2 linked regions of the Tamandua tetradactyla genome follow. The protein of the gene in region 1 purifies or fractionates together with the protein of each later gene. This does not show direct contact. Links are inferred from orthologs where the notes say so. Each region holds a gene or a part of one and is shown in the gene's direction. Other genes may lie near its edges.

Region 1 (8,765 bases):
AGCAGTCATTCCCCAGTCACATCTACTTTCTGTCTCTGTAGATTTGTCCAGTCTGGACATTTCATGTAAATGGATTCATACAATATGTGGTCTTTTGTGACTGGCTTCTTCCATTAAGTATAACATTTTCAAGGTTCATCCACGTTGTAGCATGTCTCAATACTCCATCTTTTTTATAGCGGAGTAATATTCCATTGCATGGCTATATCACATTTTCTTTATATATTCATAAGTTGATGGGCATTTGGGTCATTTCCCATTTTGAGTTATTATGAATAATACTGCTATAAACATTAATGTACAAGTTTTTTTGTGGATATATGTTTTCAATTCTTTGGGGTGTACACCTAGAGTGGAATTGCTGGGTTATATGTTTTACCTTTTGAAGAACTGCCAGACTGTTCTCCAAAGCAGCTGCACCATTTTACATTCCCACAAGTGGTGTGTGAGGACCCCAAATTCTGTTTCTTTGCCATCACATTATTTGTCTTTTTGAAATATTCATCCTAGTGCATCAAAGTGGTATCTCGTGATTTTGATTTGCATTTTCTGGATGAGTAATGATGTTGAATACCTTTTCATGTGCTTATTGTCCATTTGTATATCTTCTTTAGAGAAATGTCTACTGAAATCCTTTGCTCATTTTTAAACTGGCTTTGTCTTTTTATTATGAGATATAATAGTTCTTTTTAATACTTAGCTACAAATACCTCATGAGATATATGATTTGCAAATATTTCCTCCCATTCTGTGCTAGTACCTCTTCTTCTCCCATATGAAATGAGGGAGGTGATTCTAAATTCAGCACTCCTGAACTGTGCTTTATCTGAGAAGCCAATCACAGTGTTTCTAGTTTCCGGGCTGCTAAAACAAATACCGTACAATGGGCTGGCTTAAACAATGGGAATTTATGGCTCTTGGTTTTGAAGCTACACGAAGCCCAAAATCAAGCAAGGCATTTGTTTCTCCCCAAAGACTGTGGCATTCTGAGGCTGCTTCCATTCATCCCTCAGCCTTAGCTTTTCTGCCACATTGCAAAGCGCGTAGAGAGTCTTTCTCTTCTGGGTTCTGTTGACTTCCAGGTTCTGGCTGCTCCCCATGGCTTCTCTCTTTGTGGCCTTCACTATAAGGACCTATTAGGATTAAGACTCATCCTGATCCAGTTGGGCCACCTCAACTTAAGTAACCTCATCAAAAGGTCCTATCTACAATGGGTTGGCACTTATAAGAATGGATTAAGTTTAAGAATATGTTTTTCTTGGGTACGTAACTCCAAGCCACCATGTCTGGAAGTATCCACATTTTCATTTCCAGTGGTGGGTTTAGAAATGTATGAAACACAGCTTTGGCAAATAAGAGTATTTTTGAGAAAGTTTCTTTACGCTTCTTAAGAGACACTAAAGAGAAAGTTGCTTCTTCTTCCCCGGCCGCCTCTTGACCGCATGGCAGTCAGTGTCTTGGAAAAGTACTCACACTGAGGCCACAGGGTGGAGAGAGTGAAAAGATGAGTTCTTGAGATTGTAGAACTATAACTGGAGATTGTCTTTTCTCTGCACGTTATGGGAGATAATAAATTTCCTTATTATGTATACTCTGGTTTCTCTTCAGATCGTATAAATCTTTCGCTTTTTACTAAAGATTTCCGTGGAGAGAAGCACCTCTGAGTCTTAAACCAATTTTTTGAGGCCCTGTTTAGGCAAGGCTAATAAAACAGTTAAAAAAAAAGAGAGAGAAAAAAAATTTTCCTTATTATGTAAACTAGTTTGATATGGGGTTTTGGTTTTTGTACTCCAAAACATCTGAAGGAGTACATAAATGTTCCTTCCTGTATTAGTTAGGGTTCTCTAGAGAAACAGAATCAACAGGAAACACTTGCAAATATAAAATTTATAAAACTGTCTCACATAACCGCGGGAATGCAGAGTCAAAAATCCGCAGGGCAGGCTTTGAAGCCGACGATTCTGATGGAGGGTCTGGATGAACTCCACAGGAGAGGCTTGCCAGCCAAGCAGGAAAAAGAGCCTGTCTCTTCTGAATCCTCTTTAAAAGGCTTCCAGTGATTAGATTAAGCATCACTCATTGCAGAAGACACGCCCCTTGGCTGATTACAAATGGAATCAGCTGTGGGTGCAGCTAATGTGATCATGATTTAATTCTATGAAATGTCCTCATTGCAATAGACAGGCCAGCGCTTGCCCAACCAGACAAACAGGTACCACCACTTGGCCAAGTTGACACATGAACCTGACCATGACACTTCCTATGTAATGACTTTTCTCTCTACTCAGCTGGATCTTTCTCTTATGGCTAAGTGTACAAGAATTCTTTTGGAAAATTATTCTCCCTTCCTTAGTGCTGTAAACAATTCTTAATTTGGTTTAACTTCCAACATCAATTATAAATTCTGAGTATGTATCTGTGAATGGGTGGCAGGGGTAATGAGATATTGATTGATTCCTTTGGTTTTGGGGGTGGCTGGGTAAGGCCTGGGGGTGGCTGGAAACTTCACTGTGGTCATGCTGGTTCTGGCAGCAAGACGCTTCCTCTATTTATTAAAGAGTGCTGAACAAACACTATCATTTTCAAATATAGGCACTGAATTGACATATTGCTTATTTCAGAAAAATTAGAAAAAATATTTAATAATGCTAAACTCAAAGTTGATATGGAATATCCTTCTTGTAGCCTGTAGGTCAGCTGTTTTCCTCTTTACCTCTTTGATTTTGTGGATTGTTTTCATTGACCCTAATTTCTTCACAGGAATAGGGAGGCAATGGCAAACTCTGGAGCACTGGTTTAGAACACAGACAACCTGACTGGATTAAGGGTAAATCATCTAACCTTTCTAGAATTCAATTCCCTTCTCTGTCAGATGTGACGTTTGGATTATCTGACCTAGAGCAGACCAATTACTTTATTTTGATAAAAATGTCCCTACATTCATTAACCAGCATGCTTATTGTTCTTTATAACACTGTTGGTTATTTACAGCACTCATTTTTTTTCTTTCATTCAATTACTATTAGCCCTCTAAATTTCTGTTTTTTAAATGTTTAATGATTCTGAAAATAGTACATGGGTATATTCATTATCAGACCTCTTCTGATAATGAATAGTAACTTCCATGGTAACTGAAAGTGTTAGAAACTTAAAGAGGAAGTTCTGTGTGGGAGGATGAGAGGAGGTCAAAGAAAGAAACATAAATGGGTTTCAATATTAAATTTCTGAAATTATGTTGCCACAAGTTTTATTAAGTCAAGTATAAAATGGCATCCAAGAAAACACTGAATAAAACAAATTTATTATTGTTCTTTTGAGGGAGATAGGATTCTGAACAGATTTTGGTTTTGCTACTTAAAAAAAAAATTAACCTCCAATACAGAATTGCAAGTCTTTAAATGCCCCCTTAATATCTTTGTGGTGGTGATGGGGTGGGTGTGGGGCTGGGGGCAAGGAGTGTGGCAGACGAGATTGGCAAAGAGAGGATAACGAAATTACTTGCCTGTTTAGGAAAGACATTTTGATTCACTTATATTTGCTAGTGCGATGGTGAAACATTTTTACCACAAGTCTCTGCAGAATTAAGACACTTCAGACAAAATACCAGATAACGTGTTTCACACATAAAAGCATGATAGACCATAGCTTTACAGGTGAGGTAATTCAAGGAGCTGTTGAGTTTTAAATATCTCTGATACTAAGTGCTTTGACTGCAAAAATAACCTCAAAGGAACATGACCTAAAATTTAAGGAAGAGTTTCTTATCTAAACAATACAGTGTTTTGTTATGAGATCATTTTAATAAAACCCTTTTCTGAATTTTCCATATAATATGGGAATACTTAGGAACCTATCCTATTTTTGGCTCTGAAGTTCCCTACACCAGGCCAGCCTAAGGCTGTGGGGCAGTGGCAAGAAAGCAGCCTTGAGTTTTCATACAGAAAACTTCTCTGTACTGATCAGAAATACGCATTCTCCGGAAGGGTTTTGGTCAGTAAGAGCGAACCAGAACTTTAAATACCATTGCATTCATTCACTTATTAATCCAAAAATTGTTTATTACATATTTATCCAGGCACCAGAAACAGCTGTAGAAAAGGTAAAATAACCCTGCCTTCCTGGAGCTTGTATTCTTCAGGGGAAAATAGACAATAATTAAACGGTAAACAAAAAGCATTGTTTTAGATAGTGATGAAGAAGACAGTTGCGAAGAAAACAAAACAGGACAAATCTATACATAGACAAATTTTGTCTGTGGCTATTTTAGATTGTGTGGTCAGGAAAGGCTCTCTACAGAGGTGACATTTGAGTTGAGACCTAAATGACAAGAAGGAATCAGCAGGCAAAGTACCAGGCAGAAGGAACAGTTCCTGCACAGAAACAGGTAAAAGCAATGACTAACGTTACTGGATAAAACTTTTTGAGATTTCGGAAACGGCATGAAGGCATCTGTGGCCAAAGCACTGCAAGGGTAGAAGACGAGGTCCCTGACGCATATGAGGGGTTACGATCTTATTCTAAGCGTAACTGATGCCCACTGGAGGTTTTTGAAGAGGGATTGGGAGATGGGTGATATTCATTTCGTATTTTAAAATACAGTATCCCAAATGGCCACGCACTTTGATTTTACTTCTTTAAAATTTAACTTCTAATTCCTGTACGAATTGAACGACACCCCGGCCACCTCTGTTTTCTCAGGCTGTTTGCGCTCGCCGCGGGCTGGTTTGCACCCGACGCTCCCCTGTTGACAGCCTCGGAGGAGCATGTGACAGTTGGCAGGCGCAGCGAGGGGCAGCCCGAGCCAAGTCGCTGCAGGGGCCAGGGCTGCGGGAGGGGGCAAGGAGAGGAGGCGACGGCGGCCCTGCGCACAGCGAGGAAGGGAGGCGGAAGAAGCGGGGCCCCCCACGGGCCTCCCAGGGGTCAACGGGGCCTCAAGATGTTCCCGAGTCTCGCCAGGAGTGCCCGGAATCGACATCGGAAACAATGGTGGCTCGGGGCTGGACACCATGGCGCTAGGGCTGGAGGTGGGGGTGAGGGGTGGGGAGGCGACTAGGGGAGTTTCGGCTCCTTGGGCCTAGCAAGGCGCGGCCTCAACCTCAGCTCACCCAAGAGCCGCAGGTGTTGATTCGAGGCTCGGGTCCCGCCGTCCTTCTGCCCACATCCTGTGGCGCACGCGGCCCGGGGCCTGGAGATCCGGCGCCGGGTTTTGTGATCCGCCCGCATCGAGAGGCCGCACCCGAAGCCGCTAACCCTAGGACCCGACTCTAGGCCCACTGGGCCCTTCGGGGCTCCCTTCCCTCCCGTTGGACTCCAGGCGACCGACCGCTTGGGGCCACTGTGCTGAGGAGAGCTGCGGCGCCCTTTCCCTCGGGCCTTGGCGAACTGAGCTCCTCGGAGACCAGCTTCACAGGGAAACCGATGCTTCGCGGTCCGGAGTGCGACCTTCGCCCGCAGGCTCCTACTCTGTCTTCAAACCTCTGGTTCAGAGGCACCGGCTCAGCAAGTCCTGTCCTCCCGACGCCATTCGAATTAGCCACCCACTCACTCTGCATCCCACCACCCCGATTTAATGTTTTGCGGTACATTTACTCCATGTGTCTTCCGTGTTTGTTTTTTGTCTGCTCTGGAATGTACGTTCCACGGAGCAGGGACTTTTCCAGGCGCAGTATGGTGTTCCCGCAGCCTAGAACGGGGTCCGGGCCCAGGGAGCCCACTGACATTTGGTGAACCACAGGCTGCAGTTCTCGGCCTTGGAGAGCAACAGAGCCGCGGCCTCTTCGGGCGAGGGGCGGGGCTTGTGGCCCCTAGGCCTAACTTTCTACTTCCGCCTTCTTTCCCCCGGTCCCCCGAGGGCTGAGCCTGAGCCTCGCTTTGCCCTCAAGCCTCCCTCCCTCCTCCTGCAGCCACCGCAAAAACCCGGAGCCTCGAAGCAGCGGAGCGGCGCCACCCCTCGCGGCACCTCCCTGGCAGCCCTCGGCGGCCGCGCTGGGCATGCTCAGTCGGCAGGGCCGCTTCAGCTGGCGGAGTAGGAGTCTTAGGCGCTCCGGCTGCAAGGAGCCGCGGCGGGGTAAAATGGAACCTTTTACCAATGGTGAGTGTGGGAGGCCCGAGGCGCCGGGGTCAGGCTCTCACAAGCTCTCTGGGTTGCCGGCAGCCGTGACACGCGGGGACGGGTTTCAGTTGCCCCCATCGCGGGTGTCTTGCCTGGGTTTAGGGGAGGTGGTAGGAAGCTGGGGGCGGCAGCGGCCAGCGCGGGGCCGGGGGGCTGCCCCGGGTGGGAGGTGGCTGGGGGTGGCCGGGACCCAGAGCTCCGCTGTGCGGCGGGGCGGACGGACGCACAACAAAGTTTGGGCTGTTGTGCGCAGAGGAGGGGACAGCGGGAAAGTTGTCTGCCCCTGCTTTCGGGATGGTAGGGTTAAACCGTGGCGCCTGCCAAACCCAACTTCTGTGGCACGCCGGGCTCTGTCCCCTTGTCCTTCAGAGAGTTGCCGGCGTGACTTTTCCTAATAGGGCGGTGGGGGGGTGGGGGCCTTGGCAGACCAATGAGTGGAAGGAGGGGAAACTTGCGGGAAGCCTTGCTCACCCTCTGCCGAAGAGAGATGCCTATCCGCATTGCCACTTTCCTGTCTGTTGCTGAGGCGCTCTGCAGAGCGTTCGGCTTCCTGCCTTCCTGATAATCAGCTTTTCAGTCAAAGACTCGTTAAATATCAAGAGTCCGTCACGATGATATCACAATTTGGGTTGAGGCGAGAGTCAAAGCAGGAGCCTGCACGATGCCCTGCAAACTGCCACGGCGCTTTACTGAATGGAGTCCCATCTCTAATTAAAACGATGGCTTTTGTTTGCACCAGGAGTGCTAGAGTCACAATATATGGGTGAGATGTCTTACCATTGTGCGGCGTTGAGTATAGGATGCCTTTTAAGGATACAAAGTAGGAAAACTGTCAAGGGAGAATTCACGCTAAAATTAAGTAGATTCACTTCCCAGTTGATGTGTGGTTCATTACTTTCAGGTAGTTAGGCTATAGCAGTATCGAGGCCGGTCTCATCCCTGTTTGAATTGTCAGTTACCAGTCAAAAGACAGACATTGTCCACTCTATCCCAAACCTCAGCCAGACTTTGTTGTATGCTGTGCTTCGTTCATGGGGTCGTTATAACTACTCTGTCCCTAATTCAGAATGCTTTATTCTGCTGCCATCTTTCTGTCTGAGCTGATTAATTAGGTTTAATAATGACAACTTTAATTCTGAATTTTCTTTCTCATTTCAATTCTATTTGTAATTACTAAGGCTCTAAGAGTAGTCTGGTAAAGTTATCCAGAGAATCAAGGAAGATTTGAGCTGATTGGAGCCTTAGAGACCATCTAGCACTTTAGTATTATAATATATATTATAATATTGCGCTTGAATATTCCAGTGCTTATTCTTCCATAGATTTCTTGTTTGTTCTAGATAGAATGCTTGTAGCTTCCATGTTGGTAGGATTTTAAATGTACAGTTTCACCTAAATAAAAAAAGAAAAAATCTCTGTAGCATGGCTGCATCACCCATTTGCTCAAGATTATTAGTTGCTCGTTTGATGAACCTGCCTCTACAGAATTGAAGTACATTCTCAAGTCTTAAAATTTGGGCCTGTTTTCTTTTCATAGAATACGCTGTTCTAGATGTGAATATTTGCAAAATTGTCACATATGGGAGGGCAATGGAAAAATCCCAGGGTGGGGGGGTGGTAAGAAAAGGAAGCAATGCTTCAGCTTCTATGTAGGAAATTGGATTTCTAATCCTTGCCTATGTTTCATATATTCAGAGTCTGTACTGAAGACAGTTTTGCAGTACATCATTTTAGTTAATGTGTTATTCCTCCCTTGTACTCTTTTCTTGTGTTCTTTAACAAGGAGAACAGAAACCACATCTTAAGTTAAAAAGAAATTAGATGCGGGCCACAGTGGCTCAGCAGGCAGAGTGTTCGCCTGCCATGCCAGAGGACCCAGGTTCGCTTCCTGCTGCCTGCCCATGTTAAAAAAAAAAGAGAAATTAGATGCTAGCAAATTGAGGTAATTTTCACATTGAAGATGGGCTGGGTATTTATTTCGGACCCTTTGAAGGAATAGATGTAAAATTTTCTAGTGTCTTCAAACATCACATGGTTTAGTGGAAAGTATGTTTATCTTTGTACTTAATTGACTGCAAATGATATGCATATATACTTCTCCTGTAGGTCCGTATGTTCTGTGCAGAGTGTTTCATTATTCACAGAATTTCTGATTGCAGGATTTATCAAGTTTGAAATTAATTAGCTTATGTTACACATTCATCCTCTTTTAATTAAAGTCTTTACCACTTATGCTTTCATATATTCCTATAATGAAGAGGGATGTGTCACTTAACAAAAGAAAGTTTCTGTAATTCAGGACCACATATCTTTTAGTGACAATGTTGTTTTTATACTCTGACCTATCCATTTGTAAAGGAGGCAGATTTAGTTTGTCTTGTCATTCCTGCCTTCAGTACTCACTTATTCTGGTAGGGCTTTCTGCACTTGTTTTCAGTGAAAACTTACTACTGATGTGGCCCGTTTTTTTTAGGTCCTACTTTCTGCCTGTTGATAATGGGTTTTGGTTTATTTGATGAACATCTTTCGTTAGCCTGCTCAGACTACATAGTGCTGCAACCCATTTAAAATGCTCATCTTAAGAAAGGGCTTATCATTAGGGACATAATTTGGCTCAGGAGATATTTTTGGCCTTGCCCTTGGAAGGGACTGC
Region 2 (8,756 bases), on another chromosome or scaffold:
CACAGTTGCTTCTGAGCTCATATAGACGCAGAATGTGGAAATGCTTGGAGAGCCGACAGAGAGAGCAGATGCCTAGACACAGACGTTAGGAGATGCAGATCCCAGCAGATGTCATCACATGCCTTCCGATGAGATGCTGACAAGCCAGAACCCAGAGTTGGGTCCCGGAGGAGCTGAGTGAGGCCCACAGATGCTTAGAGAGGAAGCCACTGGCGTCAGAAGCTGGAAGCAACGGAACCGGGAACAAGGACCAGCAGATGCCACCACGTGTCTTCCCATGTGACAGACATCAGCCTTTCTTGAGTCAGGGTATCTTTTTCTGTATGCCTTAGTTTGGACATTTTTATGGCCTTAGAACTGTAAACTTGTAATTTAATAAATTCCCTTCTTAAAGAGAATTTAAGACAGAAAGAGCAACCTTCAATCCACCTCCAAGTTCTGGATAGCGAAAGGCAAGGCCATACTTCTTTTCCTGTCCTTGGATTCTTTGGTGTCCTTTGATAGTTTCCTTGAGTTAGTCTCAATATATTTCTATTCTTTATAGGCAGAAAGAGGTCCAAATGAAAAAGCTCTTAAAGAAACTGGAAAAAAAGAATTAGAGTAGCTAAGCTAATTATCCTAATGCATAAAGATTTCTTACTGTGCACTGGTTAGAAGCTGTTATGTACCCCTAGAAGGCCAGGTTCTTTTAATCCATTCCTGTGGGTGCAGACCTGTTGTCTTGGTTAGGTTTCAGTTGCCATGTGACCCAGCCCAATTTAAGGTGGGTTTTTATCCTTTACCGAAGTCCTTTATGAGAGGATCAAAGGAAGAAAAAGCCGAGAAAGCTTAGAGAAAAATCTCCGGAGATGCTCAGAGAGAACCTACAGAAGCTCAGAGAGGAAGCCACTGGAAGCAGGAGCTGAAAGCAGTGAAACCTGGGAACAAAGGACCAGCAGATGTAGACCAGTGCTTTGCTATCTGACAGAGGAAGCCTGGCTGCCAGAGGGCTTTCCTCAGAGGTATTGCCCTGTTGAGGCCTTAATTTGGACATTTTCATGGCCTTAGAAATAAAACCCCATTGTTAAAAACTGACCCATTTCTAGTATGTTTAACCTCACTGTAATAAAAGAAACCTCAATTAAAATAATCTCGTATTGTTCTGTGCTTGTCAATTTCACACTGCCACATTAGTGTCGGTAGAAGGAAATGACCGTTCCTTGCTTAACCAGAAAGAAAGGGCCTGATGGAAATGTAGGGTGCCCCTTCTTTCCCCGTGCTCCTCACTCCCCTTCAAGCAAAGGATGGTGAGAATGAGTAAGGATGAGCTAGCTGGCTTTTCTTCTGGGATCTTGTAAGGTGGAGGAGGCAACTTAATATATAAGAGGAGGTTGGAAAGGAAGGATAAATTGATCAATGCCTTCAGTACAGTTTTGCTTATGTATTTTGTTTGTTTTTTACATGGAGAGGCACCGGGAATTGAACCTGGGTCTCCAGCATGGTAGGTGAGAACTCTGCCTGCTGAGCCACCGTGGCCCACCCTGTTTACAGTAGTTTTAAAATAGTCTTTTTTTTTTTTTTTTTAGTAACTAAGCACATATTTTTACATATGTAAAAATCTATTTGATTATTGAAAAAATAATACATGCATCTCATATGTATGTATGTATATATGTCTTCTTTCTTCCAGAGTCTCAAGCCCTCATAGCAGTTTCTTGTAGTTTTCCAGGGAGCCTGTTTGTCCAAGCTTTTATTTTTAAGAATATATCTCTCTTTTCAACACAGAAAGAAGCATATTTTACTAAGCACTTTTTCACGCAACACTGTCTTGGCAGTCATTCCACATCAGTATATATATACCCTCACCTCATGCTTTTCATACTTCATCTAACCAATTCTCTATGATTGGTCAATTCGATTTTTTCTAGGACTTTGGTACCAAAACAATTATGCAGTGTGTATAACTTTATATGTTCATACATTTTATATGTATATACCTACCAGAACAGTATGTGGATATATTCCATACACATATGAGGATATATTCCCAGGGGTGCAATTGCTGGGTTAAAGGATATGCATATTTCAAAATGGATATAAATAATTCATTTCGAAAAACTTGCAGGTTATACAATAAGGTCAGAAAATATTCAGTCCCATTTCCCACACCTCTAACATCTAAGAACTATACAATGCTTATTTATTTTAATGAGGTATTTTAATGCCGCAGGTACCTTTTGAATTGGTAAGAAAAATTTCCTTCTTCCAAGTTCATTGTCAGCCTCCTACACTGAAGAACATCATGCTCTGGTGGAAAAATCCGCATCCCGAGACCTGCTCTGTCTCAGGCCCAAATCCATATTCCCAGGTCCAACCAAGCCTGAATTACTTCTTTCTGTTGGGGTTCTACCACCTCCAGTCCAGGCCCCAAGCCTCTCTGCACTGGCTTTGTTTCTCTCTTTCCTTAGCCTTCTGAGTCCAATGGGCCATTTGTCAGCATTAATATTTAATGCTTTTATTTCTGCATAGGAAGCCATCTCCGAATTTTCCCCTTATCAACTGCAAGCGCTGGTTTCCTTACCTGCCTGTTTCAGACCTCCCTGGAATGATGGTTAAAATAAGGCTTCCCCCAACACTGAAAACATGACACAAACTTAAAATGTGAAATTTCTCCCTCTAAATTCCTTGGCTAAGCCAGGCTCCAGCTCAACTGTGGAGCCACTTTACCATCTCTCACTTTAATGAACATCCTTCTCCAGCTTGAACACCATTGTCCACAAACACACTCTGCTTGGTTTCTTACCTTTGCACACGCTGTTCCCTCATCTAAAGAAACCTTCCTCCCACCCTCTACTTACAGAAAACCCACACAGCCTACGAGGCCCAGCTCCCATGTTTTCACTTTCCCTGGCCATGTGTGCTGGTTTGAAACTGTTGTTCCCCAGAAAAGCCATGTTCTTTATTTTAATCCCATTTTGTGGGGGTAGGCCTATTGTTGGGTGGTTTTTTTTTTTTTTAACTTTTTTTAAAAATTGTAAAGTACAACATATATACAAAGCAAAGCAATCATTTTCAAAGCACACTACAACAAATAGTTACAGAACAGATCCCAAAGTGTCATGGGCGACCATTCCACCATCTTAGATTGTTCCTTGTAGCTGCTCCAAAACACTGGAGGTTCGAAGGAATATTAATATAGTGATTCAGCTGCCATACTCATTAAATCCCATTTTCTTTGTTATACCTTCTCCTTTAATCCTCCTCTTAATCTATAGGGATTTTTTGGCAACGCCTGTTCTTTTTTCATGTTGAGAACGGATGTGGACAGCAAAGGATATGGGCACATAAATAAACTGATAATCTTGGAGAGGCTGCTCCCTTTGGGTTTCAGGATTTATCTGACCTAGGAATTCTGGTTTTTAAACTTTTTGGTTAAAGTGTTTCCAATCGTGGGTGGTGCATTTTGATTAGGTGGTTTCCATGGAGATTTCTCTACCCATTCAAGTGGGTCTTACTCCACTTACTAGAGTCTTTAAGAGAGAAGAATTTGAGAAAAAGTTTAGAGCTGGTAAAGACTTTTGGAAATTCAGAAAGAAAACGTCTCCAAGTGAGGTGTTTGAAACCAGGAGCCAAAGGACCACAGATGCCAGCCACATGCCTTCCCAGCGAACAGAGATACATTCCATGCCATCATCCTTTCTTGAGTCAAGGGGCCTTTTCCTCAATGCCTCAGTTTGCACATTTTTATGGTCTTAGAACTGTAAACTTGCAACTTAATAAATCCCCCTAATAAAAGCCAACCCATTTCTGTTATATTGCTCTGCAGCAGCATTAGCAAACTAAAACATCATCCTACATGCAAGCAGTTCTTCCCTAATCAGAACCCCACCAACTTCACTTGCGTACCCCCATCTTTTAGCACTTAACCTTTGCTGCAGCAGCGACTTGGCTCACTCTACCTCACTTTGAAGCCCTTTGTTTGAAATATTATGTTGCCTTTAATTCCTACTTTCCCAGTTAAGCAGGAAATAAAAAACAAAACTCCCTTATGCACATTTGGAGCCTGAGAGGTGGCAAACGAAACTAAGGCAAACGCCAGACCCTGAACTCCTCAAATGCCCCTCCGGGAGATCCACCTGGCTTCTATGACACACCCACTGGCTCTAGCTATTCTCCACCGAGGATTCGGCCTTTGGGGAGCAGAGCGGACGGGAGACGGAGCCCTGGGCCAGTTTTCAAGCAACCCTGGGTCGCTCTCACTTCCCGAGCTTCTCGGCATAGTAGAAACTGCAGATGTGCTGCAGGCGGGTGACGCGAGCTATGCGCGTCTCCACGTCTCTGCCGCGCCGGCCTTCCGCGGGCCTGTCGTCCGCGTGTCCGCGCGGCAGGTCTGTACCGGCCTCCACTGCAAGCGGGCCACGAGGCGGCCGCGGCGCGGAGTGATGACGCACAGGAACGCGCCGGGGACTCGAGCCCAGGCCCGCGGGCGGCCCTCGGTGCCGGGCGCCCAGTCCCCGCGCCGGCCCACAGCCCGGGAAGCCTTCCCCACCAGCCCCGAGGATCAGGACCCAGGGCGTGCGCGAACCCAACGCACCTAAAGCGCGCGGCTCATCGGGGCCGGCCCCGCCCCAGGACGCGCGCGCCCGTCGTCCCCGGCCCCGCCCCTCCTCGCTCGCCCAGCCGGTAGCCACTTCCTTCCTCGCATCAAGCCAATCGGCGCGCTCCACGAAGAATAGCCCTAGGAGGCGTCTGGGAAGGTAGCTCGAGCGATGGCCACGCTGACCAACCACAGCCCGGAGCTCGCGCGCGAGGGCGGGACTTGGCTCCCGCCGCCACCACTCCCGAGCGAGGGGCCGTCGCGGGGCGGGACGCCCGCGCCGAGGCTTCTGGGAGCTGCGGCACGTGACGGCCGGGCCGCCTCCGCCGCCGTCTCCACTGCAGCGCGGGGCCGGGCGTGTGTGCAGGCGCGAGTAGGCGCGGGTGCCGCCGGCGGTCCCCGGGAGGCTCGAGGTGAGGCGGGGGCTTGCGAGGGCCCCAGAGGCCGGGGGTCGGGGCACTGGGCCGGATCTGCCGGCCCCAGGCCCCGGTGGGCGCGGCGGCCATGAGGGGCGAGCTCGGGACCTGGGCCTCCTCAGCGGGGGAACCGCGCCCAGGCCGCGCCGCCGGGGCCGGGAGGCGTGGCAGGTGCACCGACCCTCGCCGGCCTCGGGAAGGCCCACCTGCTGCCCCGGCCTTGCGCCTGGGCCTTTCCTGGGCCTCTTCTTGGTAGTGGCTGCGGGGTGGGTTGGAGCCGTCGGGGAAAGATCCCGAGTGGAATCGCGCCGTGTCGGCACTCTCGGTAGGGGGAAGGAGAATACCGGCCGAGGGAGAGGATGCAGGATCAGATTGAGGAATGTTTGGAAAATAAGATTTCGGAGCGAAGCCCGGATCCTGGCACCCCGAGGGGTCGGAGAATGTACTAGAACCTAGCTAGGGGGCTGAGAAACTTTAGTCTTAGCGTTGCAGTACCTCCGGGGGTGTGGGGAGTGACCCCGTCGGAAATTCCCAGTGAAAGGGAAAGCTCACGGAGTTGCGACTCGCCCTGCGGTGGAGGAAACCGACAGGCCCAAGGTCATGCGATTGGTTTAACGGGCGGTTGAGGGTATGATCCAGGGCTAGGTCGTTTCGGTGTAGTGGCGAAGGGTAAGGCCCTGGTTCAAATCCCGCCCGGGCGGTTCGCTAGCTCTGTGAGCTTCGGCAATTTCCATAACCTTTGTGCTCCAGTTCTTGGCAAATAGTGGATATAATAATATCTGGCGGCGTTGAGGAATACATTAGGATGTTTAGAAAATAGGACAGGGAAGCCTGATTCATATAGCGAATGCTCGATAAATAATGATTGCGATAAATGATTGAAATCTTGATGTTGTTTCGCTGTATTGACAGTCCTGTTTTTGAGTTGGACAAGTCTTGTTTTGCAGGACTTGAAGACACCTTGATGGTCTGGGGGGAAGAAACTGGAGCGTGTGAATTAACTTGCTGGCATGACACCAGTGAATGCTGGTTGAGGGAAGTTACACTGAGCTGAACATTAAATGCTTGGGAGGACAGAGGTGAACGACAGTGACGTCTCTTCTAATTTTAAGAAATGGAAGTTTTTGCTTAGCTTTTTAACAAGTAGATTTTGTTTTAAGGGGAAGCAGTGTAGCAATCTTTAAAATGATGCTATATCTTCCTGTAACAATGTCGGAGGGTCCTGAGTAGAATCGACTGCCCCCTTGCACGTTTACTATAATTATCCGTAGAGCACAGGTGAAGAACTGTGTGGGAATTCTCCGTTCCACCAGCCAGGGGCATGAGAAAAGGTCCAGGTAACTGGATTGTGTGACTGCTGGAGAAAAGTATTGGCATGAATGTTGCACAGCAAATGAGTCTCCAGACCTATCTGAAAATGGGTGTCAGCATCCCATCCACCCCATTCCCCCAACCCCCCTTACTATCTTAACTAGGCAGATCAGCTGTCATGTTATCTTTCACAGACCACGGAGTAAACATTGTGGCAGAAGTCATTGCTGCAGTTTTGGCAATCACATTGCTGCATCCTTTCAGTAGAGTTCACTTTGTCCTGCAAGATATCTTACAAGAAAGGAATGACAGTTGGTAATTCATAAGTGTAGGCTCAAGCTGAGCACAGTAATTAGCTCATGTGCTTCCCTGGTTTACACATCTTTAAAATGGGAATGAGATGTCTCTTCAGATGCCTTACTTTTAGGAGGCTGTTTACCTTTGTCCATCTTAGCACGAAGCTTCTTTGAAAAGTGTAGAAAATTGGGCAATTAGGAAAATTGGCAGCTCTTAATAATTCCTGGAAGATAATAAAAGTGCCAAAGCATAGGTCAGTCTATATGGTTTACTGTAGAACTTCATCATAAAAATGCTAGTTCAATGCCTTGTTACTGCAACCGGTGTACAGTTTTAAATTAATTTGGAGAGGAGTGCAGCGGTAGTTCAGTGGTAGAATTCTCACCTGCCATGCCGGAGACCCAGGTTTGGTTCCCAGTGCATGCACTTCCCAAAAGAAAAAACAAAAATTCAACAAATGGTGCAATAATGGGATACTCATATGGAAAAATAATGAAATGTGACCCTACTATACAGCATACAAAAAAAAAAAAAAGAATTTGGAGGATCTTCAGTATGTTTCAAGTATTCACTTCTTAAACTTACTTAGTTGAGAGGAAGAAATAAAATGTTATGGAAAAGTCCATTCTAGTGTTCTGTCAGTGAAAAAATCCATAAAGGTCAACAAGGCAGTTTGGAAGATCTACTTTAAAATGGGTGAGCGTTTACAATAAAGACCACTTTGTATTTTATCTACCTTTTAATTTCCTTTTATTATTTTGTTTTTGACTAGATATGCATGATGGTAAAACCGGAAGGTACCATATGAAGCAGTAAGTTGGTTCATCTGTGACTGCTATTCTTTTAAATGGTTCCTTTCCAACCTAAGACTTAGAGTTTCTTATACTGTCTTAAAACTCAGAGTTTTGAAACCTTTAAAATATGACAAATAAAAGGAGTTATTAGACAATATCTAGTAAGAGTAAAAAAATCCCAGCTGTTGCTGAATATATACTGTAAGTAAGCTAGGCATGTCGCATGCATGGTGTCTATGCAGCAGTCTTAAGAGGTAGATACTGATATTCTCATTTTCTGGATGAAACAGCTCACGCCGAGGGGTTAGTAATTCACCTAAGCTTGTAAGTTGTCAGGTGCTTGAGCAGGACTTGGGAGTCCCTGCTCATAAACACTCATTGCTATTTGTTCTTGGATAGGTTATGTAACTTTAGACTTAGTTTCCTCATGTGTGGAATGGGCATGATAGTACTGACCTAGAATTGTGATGATTAAAGTAGAACACACAGGTGTCTAAAAACTACAAGCCTTGACGTTTTAAAAGGGTATAAAAATAGAAGAATGGATCTGTTACGTCAGGGAAAGCCTGCCTTATTTTTTAGTATGTACTGCCTTTTTTTATTTAAACAACCAGGAGCATTAGACTGGATAGTTTCTTCTGTTTCTCTCTCTAGTCTCATGGGTTCAAGGAGTTAGGATTTAAAATGTCACAGGAAGCAACTACTCAGTTTCCTAACTTCTTTTAAGAAACTAAGTCCCACAAATAAGGTTCAGGATCAGATGGCTTCACTTGTGATTTCTGCCAAGTACAGAAAAATTAGCACCAGTCCTTTACACACTCGTCCAAAAAATAGGAGAGGGTCTACTTCCCAACCTATTCATTGTATTAGTCCAAGATAACCCTACACCAAAACCAGACAAAGATGTCACAAGAAAAAGAAAGAAAATACAGACCAGCCAATGCAAAAACCAGAAGCAAAATGCCAGCAAACTGAATCCAGCAACATATAAAAAGCATTATACACCATGATCAAGTGGGGTTTATAGCAGAATTCAAGGTTGGTTCAACATGTGAAAATCAATGTAATATACCACAGTAGTAAAGGACAAAGATGACGTGATCATCTCAATAGATGGAGAACATTATTTGGCAAAATTCAGTGCTTTCATGACAAAAATCCTCAACAAACAAGAAATAAAAGAATTTCCTCAACCTGATTAAAATACAAAGAAATAACTCCTTGGGGAAAAATTAGACTTAATTTGAGCAAAGTATAAAAATTTAAATTTAATAAACCTGAAAATAATTTGAGCCTCCATTTAAAAAAAAAAATCTTCTGAATGGACCCTTATTGAGGTTAAAGTTTCTGCCTTTGAGATCT

What was found.
Region 2: the proteins of LNPEP (region 1) and CANX purify together in Homo sapiens (affinity purification with mass spectrometry; 3 studies listed by BioGRID and IntAct, with this or other methods). This does not show direct contact. The link is inferred for Tamandua tetradactyla from reciprocal best matches to the Homo sapiens genes LNPEP and CANX.

Annotation. Positions count from the first base shown.
Region 1 is NC_135347.1:34,098,882-34,107,646, reverse strand, and holds the start of LNPEP (leucyl-cystinyl aminopeptidase), read left to right. Parts: upstream 1-4,779; 5' UTR 4,780-5,991; coding exon 5,992-6,091; intron 6,092-6,570; exon of another isoform or gene 6,571-6,871; coding exon of another isoform or gene 6,872-6,875; intron 6,876-8,765. UniProt on the Homo sapiens protein: Release of an N-terminal amino acid, cleaves before cysteine, leucine as well as other amino acids. Degrades peptide hormones such as oxytocin, vasopressin and angiotensin III, and plays a role in maintaining homeostasis during pregnancy.
Region 2 is NC_135346.1:1,594,103-1,602,858, reverse strand, and holds the start of CANX (calnexin), read left to right. Parts: upstream 1-4,878; 5' UTR 4,879-4,989; intron 4,990-8,756. UniProt on the Homo sapiens protein: Calcium-binding protein that interacts with newly synthesized monoglucosylated glycoproteins in the endoplasmic reticulum. It may act in assisting protein assembly and/or in the retention within the ER of unassembled protein subunits.